2 linked regions of the Arabidopsis thaliana genome follow. The protein of the gene in region 2 interacts with the protein of the main gene of each other region in a pairwise test. Each region holds a gene or a part of one and is shown on either strand. Other genes may lie near its edges.

The links. Proteins that work in one complex are often made in the same cells at the same time.
Region 1: the proteins of bZIP43 (region 2) and NF-YA8 interact in a two-hybrid assay, tested with the Arabidopsis thaliana proteins (one large-scale study listed by BioGRID).

The regions. Positions count from the first base shown.
Region 1 is NC_003070.9:6,047,425-6,055,726, reverse strand, and holds NF-YA8 (nuclear factor Y, subunit A8), read left to right. Parts: upstream 1-3,098; 5' UTR 3,099-3,323; exon of another isoform or gene 3,324-3,674; 5' UTR 3,675-3,742; coding exon 3,743-4,025; intron 4,026-4,175; coding exon 4,176-4,276; intron 4,277-4,357; coding exon 4,358-4,432; intron 4,433-4,639; coding exon 4,640-4,795; intron 4,796-4,874; coding exon 4,875-5,246; 3' UTR 5,247-5,563; downstream 5,564-8,302. Other genes in the region: AT1G17600 (Disease resistance protein (TIR-NBS-LRR class) family), read left to right, coding at 1-819, 920-1,222, 1,347-2,438, 2,513-2,701; MYA1 (myosin 1), read right to left, coding at 6,418-6,541, 6,642-6,724, 6,890-6,970, 7,049-7,162, 7,241-7,340, 7,423-7,493, 7,597-7,743, 7,855-8,064 and 1 more. UniProt on the Arabidopsis thaliana protein: Stimulates the transcription of various genes by recognizing and binding to a CCAAT motif in promoters.
Region 2 is NC_003076.8:15,535,794-15,542,436, reverse strand, and holds bZIP43 (basic leucine-zipper 43), read left to right. Parts: upstream 1-3,547; 5' UTR 3,548-3,634; coding exon 3,635-4,132; 3' UTR 4,133-4,296; downstream 4,297-6,643. Other genes in the region: AT5G38810 (F-box and associated interaction domains-containing protein), read left to right, coding at 897-1,215, 1,347-1,831. UniProt on the Arabidopsis thaliana protein: Probable transcription factor involved in somatic embryogenesis. Acts as a positive regulator of BHLH109.

The DNA of each region.
Region 1 (8,302 bases), on a different chromosome or scaffold from region 2:
GGCCATGATCTAAAGCATTTGCAAAAAGAATTGCTCTCCAGTATCCTCTGTGATGATATTAGGTTATGGAGCGTGGAAGCTGGATGCCAAGAGATAAAAAAGAGACTTGGGAATCAAAAGGTTTTTCTTGTGCTTGATGGTGTGGATAAAGTGGCGCAGGTGCATGCTTTGGCAAAAGAGAAAAACTGGTTTGGTCCTGGGAGCCGAATTATCATAACCACTCGAGATATGGGCTTGCTCAATACCTGTGGAGTAGAAGTCGTTTATGAGGTTAAGTGCTTGGATGATAAGGATGCCCTCCAGATGTTTAAACAGATTGCTTTTGAAGGAGGACTTCCTCCTTGTGAGGGTTTTGACCAACTCTCAATCCGAGCTTCTAAGCTTGCTCACGGGCTTCCTTCTGCCATTCAAGCCTATGCATTATTTCTCCGTGGAAGGACAGCGAGTCCTGAGGAGTGGGAAGAAGCACTGGGTGCACTTGAAAGCAGTCTTGACGAGAATATAATGGAAATCTTGAAAATTAGCTACGAGGGCTTACCAAAACCACATCAGAATGTATTCCTTCATGTTGTCTGTCTCTTCAATGGAGACACTCTCCAGCGAATCACTTCCCTTCTTCATGGCCCCATACCTCAGAGCAGCCTGTGGATAAGAGTTTTAGCAGAGAAATCTCTCATCAAAATATCAACTAATGGATCTGTTATCATGCACAAGTTGGTCGAACAAATGGGAAGAGAAATTATCCGCGACGACATGTCTTTGGCTCGAAAGTTCCTCAGGGATCCTATGGAAATTCGCGTTGCCCTGGCTTTCAGAGACGTAAGCATCTATATCATCTTTGATCTATTCTTTTAAATTTTCATGCATCCTGACCTGACGAGTTTCTGGCTTTGTGTTTCTTTTGTCTTCTTATCATCAGGGAGGAGAACAAACTGAATGCATGTGCCTACACACGTGTGATATGACCTGTGTGTTATCCATGGAGGCCAGTGTTGTTGGCCGTATGCATAATCTCAAGTTTCTCAAGGTTTACAAGCATGTAGATTACAGAGAGTCGAATCTGCAACTCATTCCAGACCAACCGTTCCTGCCTCGTAGCCTACGGCTATTCCATTGGGATGCATTTCCATTGAGAGCCCTGCCTTCCGGTTCTGATCCATGTTTTCTTGTTGAACTCAATCTGCGTCACAGTGATTTAGAAACTCTCTGGAGTGGAACACCGGTAATCTTTTCTATGATTCTGCATCTTGTGTTTGTGTTTTTGATAGAGCAATGGTGTGAAAACAGAGAATCCTTGCGAGAAACATAATTCCAACTATTTCCATGTGTTGTTGTATCTTGCTCAGATGTTGAAGAGTTTGAAGAGACTAGATGTGACGGGATCTAAGCATCTCAAGCAACTTCCAGATCTTTCAAGTATCACGAGTCTTGAGGAATTGCTTCTGGAACAATGCACGAGACTGGAGGGCATTCCAGAGTGTATTGGAAAAAGGTCTACCTTAAAGAAGCTTAAGCTATCCTACCGTGGAGGGCGTAGAAGTGCCCTGCGGTTTTTTCTACGAAAATCTACAAGGCAGCAACATATTGGATTGGAGTTCCCAGACGCAAAAGTGAAAATGGATGCACTTATAAACATATCGATTGGGGGAGACATTACTTTTGAGTTTCGTTCAAAATTTAGAGGATATGCTGAATACGTCTCTTTTAATTCTGAGCAACAGATACCCATTATATCGGCGATGAGTCTGCAACAAGCACCTTGGGTCATCTCAGAGTGCAACAGATTCAATTCCCTCCGCATCATGAGGTTCAGCCACAAAGAAAACGGTGAATCTTTCTCCTTTGACGTCTTTCCAGATTTTCCCGACCTGAAAGAGCTAAAACTAGTGAACTTAAACATCAGGAAAATCCCATCTGGGATTTGTCACCTGGATTTACTAGAGAAGCTGGACCTCAGCGGAAATGATTTTGAGAACTTACCAGAAGCTATGAGTAGCCTTTCCCGGTTAAAAACTCTCTGGCTTCAAAACTGCTTTAAGCTCCAGGAGTTGCCAAAGCTAACTCAGGTGCAGACACTTACACTTACCAACTGTAGGAACCTTAGATCATTGGCGAAACTATCTAACACAAGTCAAGATGAGGGAAGATACTGTTTGCTTGAGCTTTGCCTTGAAAATTGCAAGAGTGTTGAATCATTGTCAGATCAGCTTAGTCATTTCACCAAGTTGACATGTTTAGATCTCAGCAACCATGATTTTGAGACATTGCCATCAAGCATCAGAGATCTTACCTCATTGGTAACACTTTGCCTCAATAACTGCAAGAAACTCAAATCGGTGGAAAAACTTCCCTTGTCTCTCCAATTTCTCGATGCACACGGCTGTGATTCTCTCGAAGCTGGTTCTGCAGAACATTTTGAGGACATACCAAACAAGGAGGTGAATACTTGGCTCTTGATCCGTCTCTACTATGATTGATGTAGTTACCCTTTATCATCTCCCTTCTTTTATAGGCACATACACGAAATGACTACTTCCAAGAAACTGAGATGTCGAGTTATGTACTGAAAACTCAAGCCACAAGAAATCGCCAAACCATCCGCCTTCCCAAGATCACACATGCGGTTATGTATGTAGGCATCCCTATCTGCATCACGCTAGTGGCTGCTCTTGTGATTTTACTCCTGCGTGTTTTCAAGTGAAACTCAAGACTCAGCAACAGCTTCCTCAAGACTTAAACTGTGTGCTTTCTTCTGTAATTTACCAGGTAGTAACAAACTTACTACATTTCAAGTCTCCCTTGCTTCTGCTTCTCTCTCTCTTTTCCACTCGCATTTTGGAACTGAGTTCCACTATATCCAAAGAACGCTTCAAGATTTTGTCCATAAACACAAAGAGTAGGCAGATTAGCTTTGCTTTAGATGCTTCAGCTGCCATATAGTTGCTCACTAGATTAGGCTTTTGACGATAGTTTTACTTTGTAAAGTGGATAGGCAGATAACTAGATAAGTGTTTACTTTGTTAAGTGAACAAAATAATAAGTCAATAAGATTAGAAAACTAATATATTAATTAAGCATTAAAAATACTAATGAAGGTGGCGGTACTGCTAATAATGGAGCTGGTGATTTTGTTGGAAAGGTAATGACTTTATAAGAGAGAAAATTGTGAGTGACGGAAATGAAGCATCAAAAGAATACACACACACACATACACACTGTTGAGTATCTATCTGAGAGAATAAGCAAAAGAGAAAAGAGATTTACTTTGTTTTGATAGGCATCCCTTGAGTTCCTGTTCTTCATCTCTTCCTTGAATCCGTAAGGTCTCTCTATCTCCTTCTCTTTGAATCCGTCATTTCTTCGCTTTTTTTTAGAGTGATGTGCTGATTCGGAAATCTTCTGGAAATTTCTTCCCAAGTCAACGCCTTTTAGGACGAAAGTAATGGTGCTGATTTTAGTTGGTCGGAACTTTACTTTTTTTTCTGCCGCGCTCTTCTAATAGTTTGCCCGAAATAGTTCTGAATGTTGCTCTGTTTCTGGGTTTTTTTCCCTTTTTGGATTATCCCCTTCTTTGTCTACTACATCGTCAAAGGTTTTGCTGTTTCCAGGAATAAATATCTTTTGAAAGTTTTATCATTTATAAAGATGTTCTGAATTTGGAGCTTCTTTGACAGACACATGTATCATCAATCTTCTCTGTTGAAGCAGAGAGAGAGAGAGCTAATTGTTGCCTCTGAGTCACATGGATAAGAAAGTTTCATTTACTAGCTCTGTGGCACATTCAACTCCACCATACCTTAGTACTTCCATCTCATGGGGACTTCCAACCAAATCCAATGGTGTGACTGAATCACTGAGTTTGAAGGTGGTAGATGCAAGACCAGAACGTCTTATAAACACAAAGAATATCAGTTTCCAGGACCAGGATTCATCTTCAACTCTGTCCTCTGCTCAATCTTCTAACGATGTTACAAGTAGTGGAGATGATAACCCCTCAAGACAAATCTCATTTTTAGCACATTCAGGTCCGTTTTAAACAACTTTGGGTTCTAGACAACTCACTATGATCTATTATGTTGAAGACGCATGGTGTTTTAGCTTGATCTTTGGTCCCATTTACGAAAGAATCCATCCCTTTGTCCTGAAAATGTTATCTTTCGCTCTCTTTCTTTCAGATGTTTGTAAAGGATTTGAAGAAACTCAAAGGAAGCGATTTGCAATTAAATCAGGCTCCTCCACGGCAGGAATCGCTGATATTCACTCTTCTCCTTCCAAGGTACCCGTATATCTACTACGAGTGACGATAAGCAGTACTTGTGATTGTTTACTGACATCTTGTGTTATACTCTGGTTTCAGGCTAACTTCTCATTTCACTATGCCGATCCACATTTTGGTGGTTTAATGCCTGCGGCTTACCTACCACAGGCAACAGTAAGTATATCCTCCTTGATTACATATGGTGAGGAGAATATTTATGCTAAACCTCATTTTTACTTAAGGTGGACTTGTTATGTAACATTATGCTCTGAAGTAGTTACATATACAGCTATAGAAAGAAATGCCATCCTTAAATGGTGAATTAGTCTTGCAATTTATTTCTCCATTTGAGATTTCAGTTTGCTTAAAAACTTTCTGCAGATATGGAATCCCCAAATGACTCGAGTTCCGCTACCATTCGATCTCATAGAGAATGAGCCTGTCTTTGTCAATGCAAAGCAATTCCATGCAATTATGAGGAGGAGGCAACAGCGTGCTAAGCTAGAGGCGCAAAACAAACTAATCAAAGCCCGTAAGGTATAGTATTTTGGTCAGCGTTTCGGTATCTTACTTTGGTTTAATGACTAAACATAACTCATTATCAAATATCATACAGCCGTATCTTCATGAATCTCGACATGTTCACGCTCTTAAACGACCTAGAGGATCTGGTGGAAGATTCCTAAACACCAAAAAGCTTCAAGAATCTACAGATCCAAAACAAGACATGCCAATCCAACAGCAACACGCAACGGGAAACATGTCAAGATTTGTGCTTTATCAGTTGCAGAACAGCAATGACTGTGATTGTTCAACCACTTCTCGCTCTGACATCACATCTGCTTCTGACAGCGTTAATCTCTTTGGACACTCTGAATTTCTGATATCAGATTGCCCATCTCAGACAAACCCAACAATGTATGTTCATGGTCAATCAAATGACATGCATGGAGGTAGGAACACACACCATTTCTCTGTCCATATCTGAGCCGGTGGAATCTGGTAATGTGTACGTTCCTACAAAAAAAGGGAAGTCATCCTTGGCTGCTACTTCGCTTATTAGCTAGTTCTTATTTCACACGCTTTGTCCAGATATCATTTGAATGACCAAAAACCTTCAAGCTTCAACTCTTTACTTTTCGTCTGTCGTTTGTACCATGGATCATCGTGTGTTAAGTCAGTGATTGGATTGGAGTGATGAATGTAAATGTAAATCTGATAACCGATAAGTCTCTGCTCTTTGCTTATTCATAGTTAGTAAAGCTAAACCAGATTCATACACTCCATTCCGGTGTTGTTTATATCATATATCATAGTCATAGAACACATTGACTAGAAGCGCAGCTTGGTCCCAATCCTCTGTAACAAGCCGTCCAACCACCTTCCCCGACCAAGTTTCTAACCGTCTGTAGATAGTCAGACTGCAGTTCCTATCGTTACTACTACTACTATTACTATCTTCCACATTTAGAACCTGCAGTCTAGTCTTTAATTATGTCACTGTAATCAAAGCGGAGACACTACCAGCAATGGCGGCAGTAACACCTTGAACAAATGTTCCCTAAACGCTTTTCTGTCTGAGTACCCCCGAGTTACAATCACTAGCAGTGTATTTATACACAAAGGGAATATCTCTTAACACAGATATGTTTCCAAAAACATACAAACATAACTAAAGACTAGACTGTAAAGGATGACGGGAAATTGCAATGTTTCTTTTGCAACACGTTTTCACCACGTGTCGATGTTGTTGACACATTAACTAACGCAAGAGTTATCCTTCTTTTGATCTTTTCCTTGATGTAATACTTTGGGCTTCAATTTTGGGCTTCAACTTTGGCCTTGTAAACTTGTTTGGATCAGTCAATAAAGAACAATAGTGACAAAAAAAAAAACTAATAATTTGAAAAATGATAAACAAAGTAAAATTCATTAAGCAAATGGCCTATCAACGCATGGACACAACAAATATTTAGTTCACATATATATATTTTTTCCTACCCAATATACCCCTATTAATAGTAGAACAGTACCAGAAAGCCACTGGCAAAGATAGGCATATGTACTAATGTACAGGCTTTGTTTTTGAAAGCACAATACTGATCTCCTAATCTGAAAATGTCCTAGCGATCGATCGGGTATAGGGAACTTTGACTACTTCAATCTGACCTTTCCAACAAGAACATGAAGTTGGAGTTTTGGCGGATCAACGGAGGAGGATCAACCTCTGCAACCTCTACGTTTTGCATCGATTTGGAGATATCGTCAAGCGAGAATGGGATGCTGCAAAAAGCAATCAAACCAAGACACATAATTTTTTTTATCAAAATATCAATCTTCTAAAAAGTGATTTGTTTTGTTAATGTTTCTTTCAAGGGTTTACCTCGAATCGTCGTCTAGTAAAAATGAATTGCTGATCGCGCTCTTTGATACATCTGACACCTCTGCCCGCATGGTTGCTATCACCTGCATCACCATTCTTGTGTCAAGCGAGGAACATTTTTATTTCAATTCTAGGTAATGTTGGATTTTCTTAAAACATAGCTCAGGATAAGACTAATGTTAACGGTTTGGTCGAGTGGGTCCATCAATCACACGAATGTGAAAGCAAGAGTAGAAATATTCACTTGCCTCTGTAGATACGCTATGTGTACCGTATTTGTCGTCCCAATACATTGTACTGATCCTATACAGTTGCTGAATGCTAAGCACCTGCAGAGAAATACAAAATTTCGTTAGATTTACATGAGACGAACAAATGAAGAGACAAATTCAAAACGTTGAACTAACCGGACAAAGTTCAGTAGTTATCTCTTTTAAGCTCTTCTTAGGCTTCTGATGTATAACCAAGAAGCCAACAGCTTGTCTAATGTGCTTTAGTTCATCCCAAGCCGAACCAACAAACTAGAACACAACAAAAAAAGCATCTTCTAATAAGCTAACTGTCCGAAAACTCCAGAGAGGATTTGAAACATCTATTACCTCCTCCGTTGCATCATGGCACCACTTTTCCAGCTCAGCAAGCCCTGTTTTTACATACTCTCCATTGCTAAACGAGCAGCATTCACGTCTTAAAAGAAGGCTACACGGTTGATTAAACGGGAAAAACATAAGCGGATCTGTATTATATAGCGACTTGACAGTTGCAACCATATCAGAATTACCTGTTAAACAGCTGAACATTGATAAATGAAAATATCTGCCCGAACACTTTAGAAATTAGCAAGGAAGGCACCTGCAGTTTTGGATAGGTTCAAAATTTGTAAGAAGAAAGAAAAAAGAAGTTGAAAATAAACTTTATTTCAGCTTTGGCGGAATTTATAGTTTATTTCACTCACATAATTGGCCCTCATAGTCCTCAAGTGGCCGTTTAGACAAGTAACAATGTTTTGCCAATGAGCAATCATCGGTTTTGGAGCAACAACATTATTTTGTGTATTTTGTGAACGTCCTTTTACTAAACCAGACCGCGGTGTCCTTGGAACCTGTTTTCATCAAACCACAAAACCAGAACCAGACTCAGGGGCTTTAATACCACAATAATATATCAACGATTATTTTCTGTGGAACAAAAGGCAATTCAAAAGAATGTCTACCTGAATGCAAGAAGCAAGCAGAGGGGAAATCTCTTTCTTCATCTTGTCACGGATCATTCCATATATCTTTTCTAGGAAAGCTGTGAGTTGCTGCTTAAAAAGCAAAGCAGGATATTTAGCTTCAACTTGACGTAGTTCGTCTAGCCCACCGCCAATTGCCCTTCCAGTCATAAATGGGAATCCAGCACTTTGTGGAGAACCTCGGAAACTCTATTATACAAGTAATTTCATGAGAAAAGTGAGATTAATGGAATCAAAGCATTCTTGAGAGACACGTAAACACTTCTAACTACCTGAGATACCCGTCCAAACAAAGATGAAGGCATTCCCCGACGTCTGGGAGTAGTTATGCTTCCTGTAGCACCGGCTTTCAGAGTGCGTTGAAGAAACATTAATAATGTGGCGGAATTGGATAACCAATAGCATAGTACATCGCTGTTTTCCTGCA
Region 2 (6,643 bases):
AATGGCAAATTTAGTAATATTACATATTATACAGAAAATATTATAGTTACATAGTTAGGATGGTTAGTTAGTAAATTATAGTTTTTTTGCTAGTTATTTCTGCAAATTTCCCTTAATATATACTGACGTTGATCTAATTTGTTTTCTTTTTGAAAATTTATTATTTCTTCATTTTTTTTTTTGTAATAATCTTCAGACTTAGATATTTTATACGTGAGGGATCATTTTGGTTTATTTTTTCTAATTAAAAGATTTTGTGACTAAAACCTAAAGTGATGTCCCCTCAAATCATTTAGCCAACACTACGTACAACGTAAGCATGCATAGAATAAGAAAAAACACGTTCACAGAATCATATTATAATTTCATTCAAAAAAAAAATCATGAATAGAATAAGAAAAAACACGTTCACAGTATCATATCATAATTTCATTCAAAAAAAAATTCATGAATGAGTGGCAATACTATGTTAGGTATATAAGTTAACATGTGCGTGAGTCACGCAGCGTGACCAAAAACGAAGTATCATGTCCTTCTTAATTGACTTCTTGGGAAATATATGTTAGGTATAAGTTAACATGTGCGTGAGTCACGCAGCGAAGCAGCGTGACCAAAAATGAAGTATCATGTCCTTTCTTGATTGACTTCTTGTGAAATACTATATGTTAGGGTCTTCAAAAAAGCAAGATTTGGATGGTTAAAAAGCCCATATTTTTTGGGCCTTAGGTTAATTAGTGCCGATCGATCCTAATAGGATTCAAATTCACCACCACCTCCCTAAGATTAATTAACATCATCTAATTAATTAGGTCGACCTCTTAAGAGATTTATTCCAAATCTATTTGTAGAGTGAGCCTGTGAGATTTTTATTCTCAAAGATCTTTCTCCGTCTGATCATGGAAAGTAGAAAAACTTTTGATTCCATTCCAGATGATCTCTTTGTGGAGATAGCATTGAGATTGTCTTCAAAGTCAATCGCTCGGTGTCGTTGCGTGTCGAAGCTATGGGCGTCCATACTTTACCGTCAAGATTTCACCGAGTTGTTCATAACGAAGTCATCCGCTCGTCCACGTCTTTTATTTGCGGTCTTAAAAGCAAGTGGTTTGATATTCTACTCTTCGCCTCAGTCTCAGAATCCGTCCCTTGAAGTAGATTTTCATAATCATATGAAGTTCCATGAAGACATGAACCTATACATGTGTAGCTATGTCTCTGGTTTGTTCCATATCCCTGTCCATGATATTTGGACCTCAAAGGCTTCAGTTTGTGTGATATTTAACCCTATCACAGGACGCTATGTTAGCTTACCTGAACAAATGGCTACAAAACGTCAAGAAGCTTTTTAGGGTTTGATCCGATTGGCAAGCAACATAAGGTTTTGTGCATGAACAAGAGACTCAATAAAGAATGGGTTCATTATATTCTGACATTAGGAACTGAAAATTTGAAGTGGAGGAAGATGATATGTCCCTTAACCCATGAACCTTATTATGGTAGAGCCTTATCCATCAATGGGGTTTTGTATTACTTTGCTAGGACATCGTGTTTTCTAGTAGTTTCCTTTAATGTTAGGTCTGAGAAATTCAAGTTTCTTGATGGAAAAGACTTCTCTAATTTTCATAGAGAATTTATAAACTACAAGGGTAAATTAGGTGTGACTAAATTGGAGTGTGATGCTGGTGATGGACATCCCCGTGAGTTGTGTGTGTGGGTTCTAGAGGATGTTGAGAAACAGGAATGGTCACAGTATATCTACTCCTTGCCGAAGATTAAGGTCAATCGGATTAGAAACGACAATATTTTCGCAATGTTTTTGCCTTTGACTATATAGAGGATCTTAGTATTGACGATTCGAAGCAACTCAAGTCAAAACCACAACAACGTCGACATGTAAAGAACAAGCAGGCAATCCTCCTGCAGAACAAGTACGATTTACTAGGTAACTCAGAGTGAGGATCTTATCTTGAAAGCCAAGCCAACGAGTCAAGCTATTTTGGTTAAGAGTGTTACTTGTCATTTACAGGTTACTTACGTGTGAGCTTTATCACCCTGTTGGCGTAGAGTGAGAGCAAACTAATATTTTTTTGTATGGTTATCAAAAGGCCTATGAGGTTTTACCTAGGTGAAGAGGGCTCTCTATATCCAATAACTTGATTGTTAAGAAACCGATGTGGTCAATGATTGAATAGTTGAATTGTCAGAATTGATGTTAAAACAAGAAAGTCATGTGATATGAATACCACTGTAGATTGATTAGAGATTTGTAGTTCATTTTCTGTTGAGATCTTATGAACAAAGATTTATGCTTTATTAAAACTAAACGAACACATCAAATATGCAAAAGAATTGGACACTTAGCTTCTTAAATTTGTTTTCTCTCAACCTTTTCAAGGTCTCATTCATAGGTCTGTTTATGCTTCTTCTGTTCTTCTTGATGAGATGCTTTCCTCTAGTACTAATTAAGTCCATCACGTAATATTTTTTTTTTTTTCTAACAACACTAAAAAAAAATTAAAGATAATATAAATTTGGATGGTTATAAAAGCCCATATGTTTCTTGGGTTTCAAAAGGTTAAATTTCAAAATCACCACCCTTCCCCTAACAGAATCTAATTACATAGGTCGAACTTTTAGCAAAATACGACGAAAATGAAGAATTACGCATGATTGCTATATGTGTCAATCCGACACTTCTATAAAATATTATATGCTTTAATTACTTTTTTCTAAATGTGTAATTTTACATGTATATATATTAAACCAAGCTTAATATAATAAAATATTTAAAAGATTTTAGATAGAAGTCATTTTCAAAAAGTGGTGGTACGGTATTAGAAAATGGACATTTTGAAATTTCTCCAAACGTTTACTATTTAAGATGAATAAATTATTAAAAAATGATTTAATTCATTCAACTCAAAATTGAAAAAAATTGACCAAATTATAAAAGTAGTTTGTTCAATTTATTTATCTACTATTTTGCAGAAAAATAAGTTGAAAGTTATTTTAAATTTCCAAAAAAAAAAACACAAATTTGTTTCCTAGCCATTGAGAGAAAGAAAAATCTCAATTATTCCCAGTCATTCATTTACACACAACCATTTTCCACCCCAAAAATTCAACCAAGTTCTCATAAATTTTAGATAGGTTTTAAAAAATAAGTTGAAAGATATTTGAAATTTCCACACAACAAAAAAAAAACAATTTGTTTCCTAGCCATTGAAAGAAAAGAAAAACTCAATTAATCCCAATCATTCATTTACAAAGCCATTTTTCACCCTAAGACTTCAACCAACTTCTAATAAATCTTAGACAGGCTTTAAAAAATAAGTTATTTAGATTTCGTTCTAAGTAGTTCAATAATTTTATAGGTGAAAAAATAGATCGTGTTTTTAAATAATAAATAAAGTTATATAAATACACGTTTTAGCTGCATGATTGTTAGATGCTTTTATATTGGTTTGACCCAAATGAAGAAACCATGGTCCACAATTGTCCCCCTACTAGTCTATATGAACACCTCTTCTCACCACACACACCAAACATTCATCACAATTCCCTAAATCCTACAATCTTTCTTTTCTTCCATCACCTAAGAGTAAACCCTACCTTGCGTCCCAAGTCTCCACCGATAATGCAACCATCCACCAACATTTTTAGCCTCCATGGTTGTCCACCTTCGTACCTTTCCCATATTCCTACATCCTCACCATTTTGCGGACAAAACCCTAATCCATTCTTCAGCTTCGAAACTGGCGTGAACACTTCACAGTTCATGAGTTTGATCAGCAGCAACAACTCGACCTCAGATGAAGCAGAAGAGAATCATAAGGAGATAATAAATGAGAGGAAGCAAAAGAGGAAGATATCTAACAGAGAATCGGCAAGAAGATCGCGTATGAGGAAGCAGAGACAAGTGGATGAGCTTTGGTCACAGGTGATGTGGCTTAGGGATGAGAATCATCAGCTGCTTCGTAAGCTTAACTGCGTTTTAGAGTCTCAAGAGAAGGTTATTGAAGAGAATGTTCAGCTCAAAGAGGAAACCACTGAGCTTAAGCAAATGATTAGTGATATGCAGCTTCAGAATCAGAGTCCTTTCTCTTGCATCAGAGACGACGACGACGTTGTATAGATGATTTTTATTTTTATTTTTTTGGGGCTCTAGTATGTATCAACAAATGTATATCCAGAGATCTGTCTCAGCTTAAGATTTAATTAAGACTCTAAATTAGTAATTGTTAAAGCAGAGTTCTTCAAACTTGTGTTGCCCGTGAATAGAAGTAAGAAATTGTTTCACAATTGTTTGCATAACAAACGATAAAAATTCACATTGCTGAAGTATAATTTTAAAAAAAATTACATGCATAAATATTTTTGCAAAATGTAAATACAAGCATCAATTACTAACAGTAGACTTTCTTCTTTTTCTCTTTAAAATTTTACGTTTATAATGACCAATTTTGTTCTTTCTAAATTGGCTTAAGTAGTGTCTTTGAAAAAAATATACACCAGCCGTAAACGGTTTATTTTCTTCCATTTCCATTTGCATTTTTATGTTGAAAAATTATTAAGAAAAGAATTAAGATTGTGATTAAAATAATAAGAATATGAAAAGCAAATACGTAAATCTAACGCAAACAAAAACAATTAAGACCTTACATGGTTGTGTACTTGTGTGTGAAACTCTCGTAAATCTAATTATGTCAAGCAAAGAAGAGCTTTTATCTGTAGTATTTTAGTACCTTGTATTTTATTTTATTTTAGTACCTTGTATTGGTAGTGCATGGACTGAGGTTTTGCAAGATTTGGCTTAGAAAGCAGTTAATGCTATTTTTTAAAAACCTAAATTACACTATTGATTATTGGTAAATCTGTTCAGCGGCATAAGTAAACCTATAACTTGGATAAAATGTTAAATCAAGCTTACATCAATCTCAGACAAGAAGACAAACAAACAATCTTACGTAAAAGGAGACCCCTTTCCAGTCAAGAAAACAAACGGCTTTTTCTTCGAATTCGTGTGGGTGAGAAACTTACCGGCCAAGAAAACAAAGAGCTTAGCCACTAAAATCACATAACATAATGTAAGTGGAAGACTGAAAGAGACACTTGCGATTGAAAGCCGAAGAAAGAAATAGAGACAGCTTTTCTAAACCACCTCAAAAGCTGGAAATACAATTCAATATAACACACAACACTTTATGGTCAGGACAGGAACAAATGACATAAGTTTTTGTTTTTTTGGTAAGTCAAAATAATAACAGTTTGGTCCCAGTTCTCAAAATCATCGATCCATCTTTTTTCTTTTCTTTTTCACTTTGATTATTGTATAAATATACATCACAATCTCAGCCTATATATAGGTTTGTGCGTGTGTGAGCTAAAGTAGTCTCTGTAGTCTATATATGTTACTAAAGTAACTTCTTTAGTTGAGACAAGTATGTTTGTTTTATTTCTTTTCCTCGCTTCGTTTTCGTTCGATGATTGGTTCATTGGTCTTTGGAAATGGTAGGATCCTATATCATCTTTTAAAAAGCCCTTAAATAATGTATAAGAGATCTTAACTAATATTCAAAGAACTCATTACTAGTTCTAATTCATTTTGATTTTGGATCCAGTGAAATCTAATTTATTAGAAGGGTCCGTTAGGATTTCACATCAAAAGCTAGAAGGAATTAAAATAATATATAAAATACATCGACAAATACACTAACTACCAATTGATTTTAGAGTTGAAAATCTATAATACCAGTGGGATGAAGTTTTATCATGACTAGCTTGATGCATAGACTTAAAATTCCACCTTAATATAAATGTAATTAAATCAACTTATATTTCGGTAACAAAGAGATGGTATATTATTTTGTTAGAAGAATTTGTAGATCCAGGAGATATATCCCTTTAATCCAAAGTTTGGTGACTAGTAGAACTACAAAACCATAGCATGTATGGCATAAGCATATGCATCTTTCTTCACAACTCATTATCCATACCCTTAAATATATGAAACATGCGGGTAAACTCGATAGTTCACAATGGGGTAAACTTTACACACAAAATTAATATACTTCCAATAATTCAGTGAATTAAATAATGCCCAATTTTTAATTCTCTAAAACCAAACCCAAATTGTTTCCTCATTAGAATGAAAATCAACACGTATTTGTGATCAAGTTGCATCTATCTTTGGACAAATATGCACGAAATCTCTCTTTAAACATTAGCATTCGTCATATGCGTAGACTCAGATTTCTCCAAAATAAAATTTTCGGTAAAGTTTACGTAATATTGAACTCAAGACCAAGTGTCGTTAGCTCAATTGGTAAAGACCCTATTCGCCTAGAGATCGCCGGTTCTAGTGACGTTTGAGATGAAACTAAAATTACAAGATTCGCCCCAGAATCTCTTAAATCAAAATATATATATCTATATATACATTTTTGCAGCCATTTTAGCAAATAAATCCTGGACTTGGACTTATTTACAATCTAATGCCATTAGCATTAAATCTTTTTTTCAAAATAATTAATTTTACTTTAAATTTTTGATTTAAATTGTCAATCACATTATCAATCAAATTTAATCCCACCAAACTTCAAATCAATCCCTTAAAATTAGCATAAACATATTTGTTAACAATATT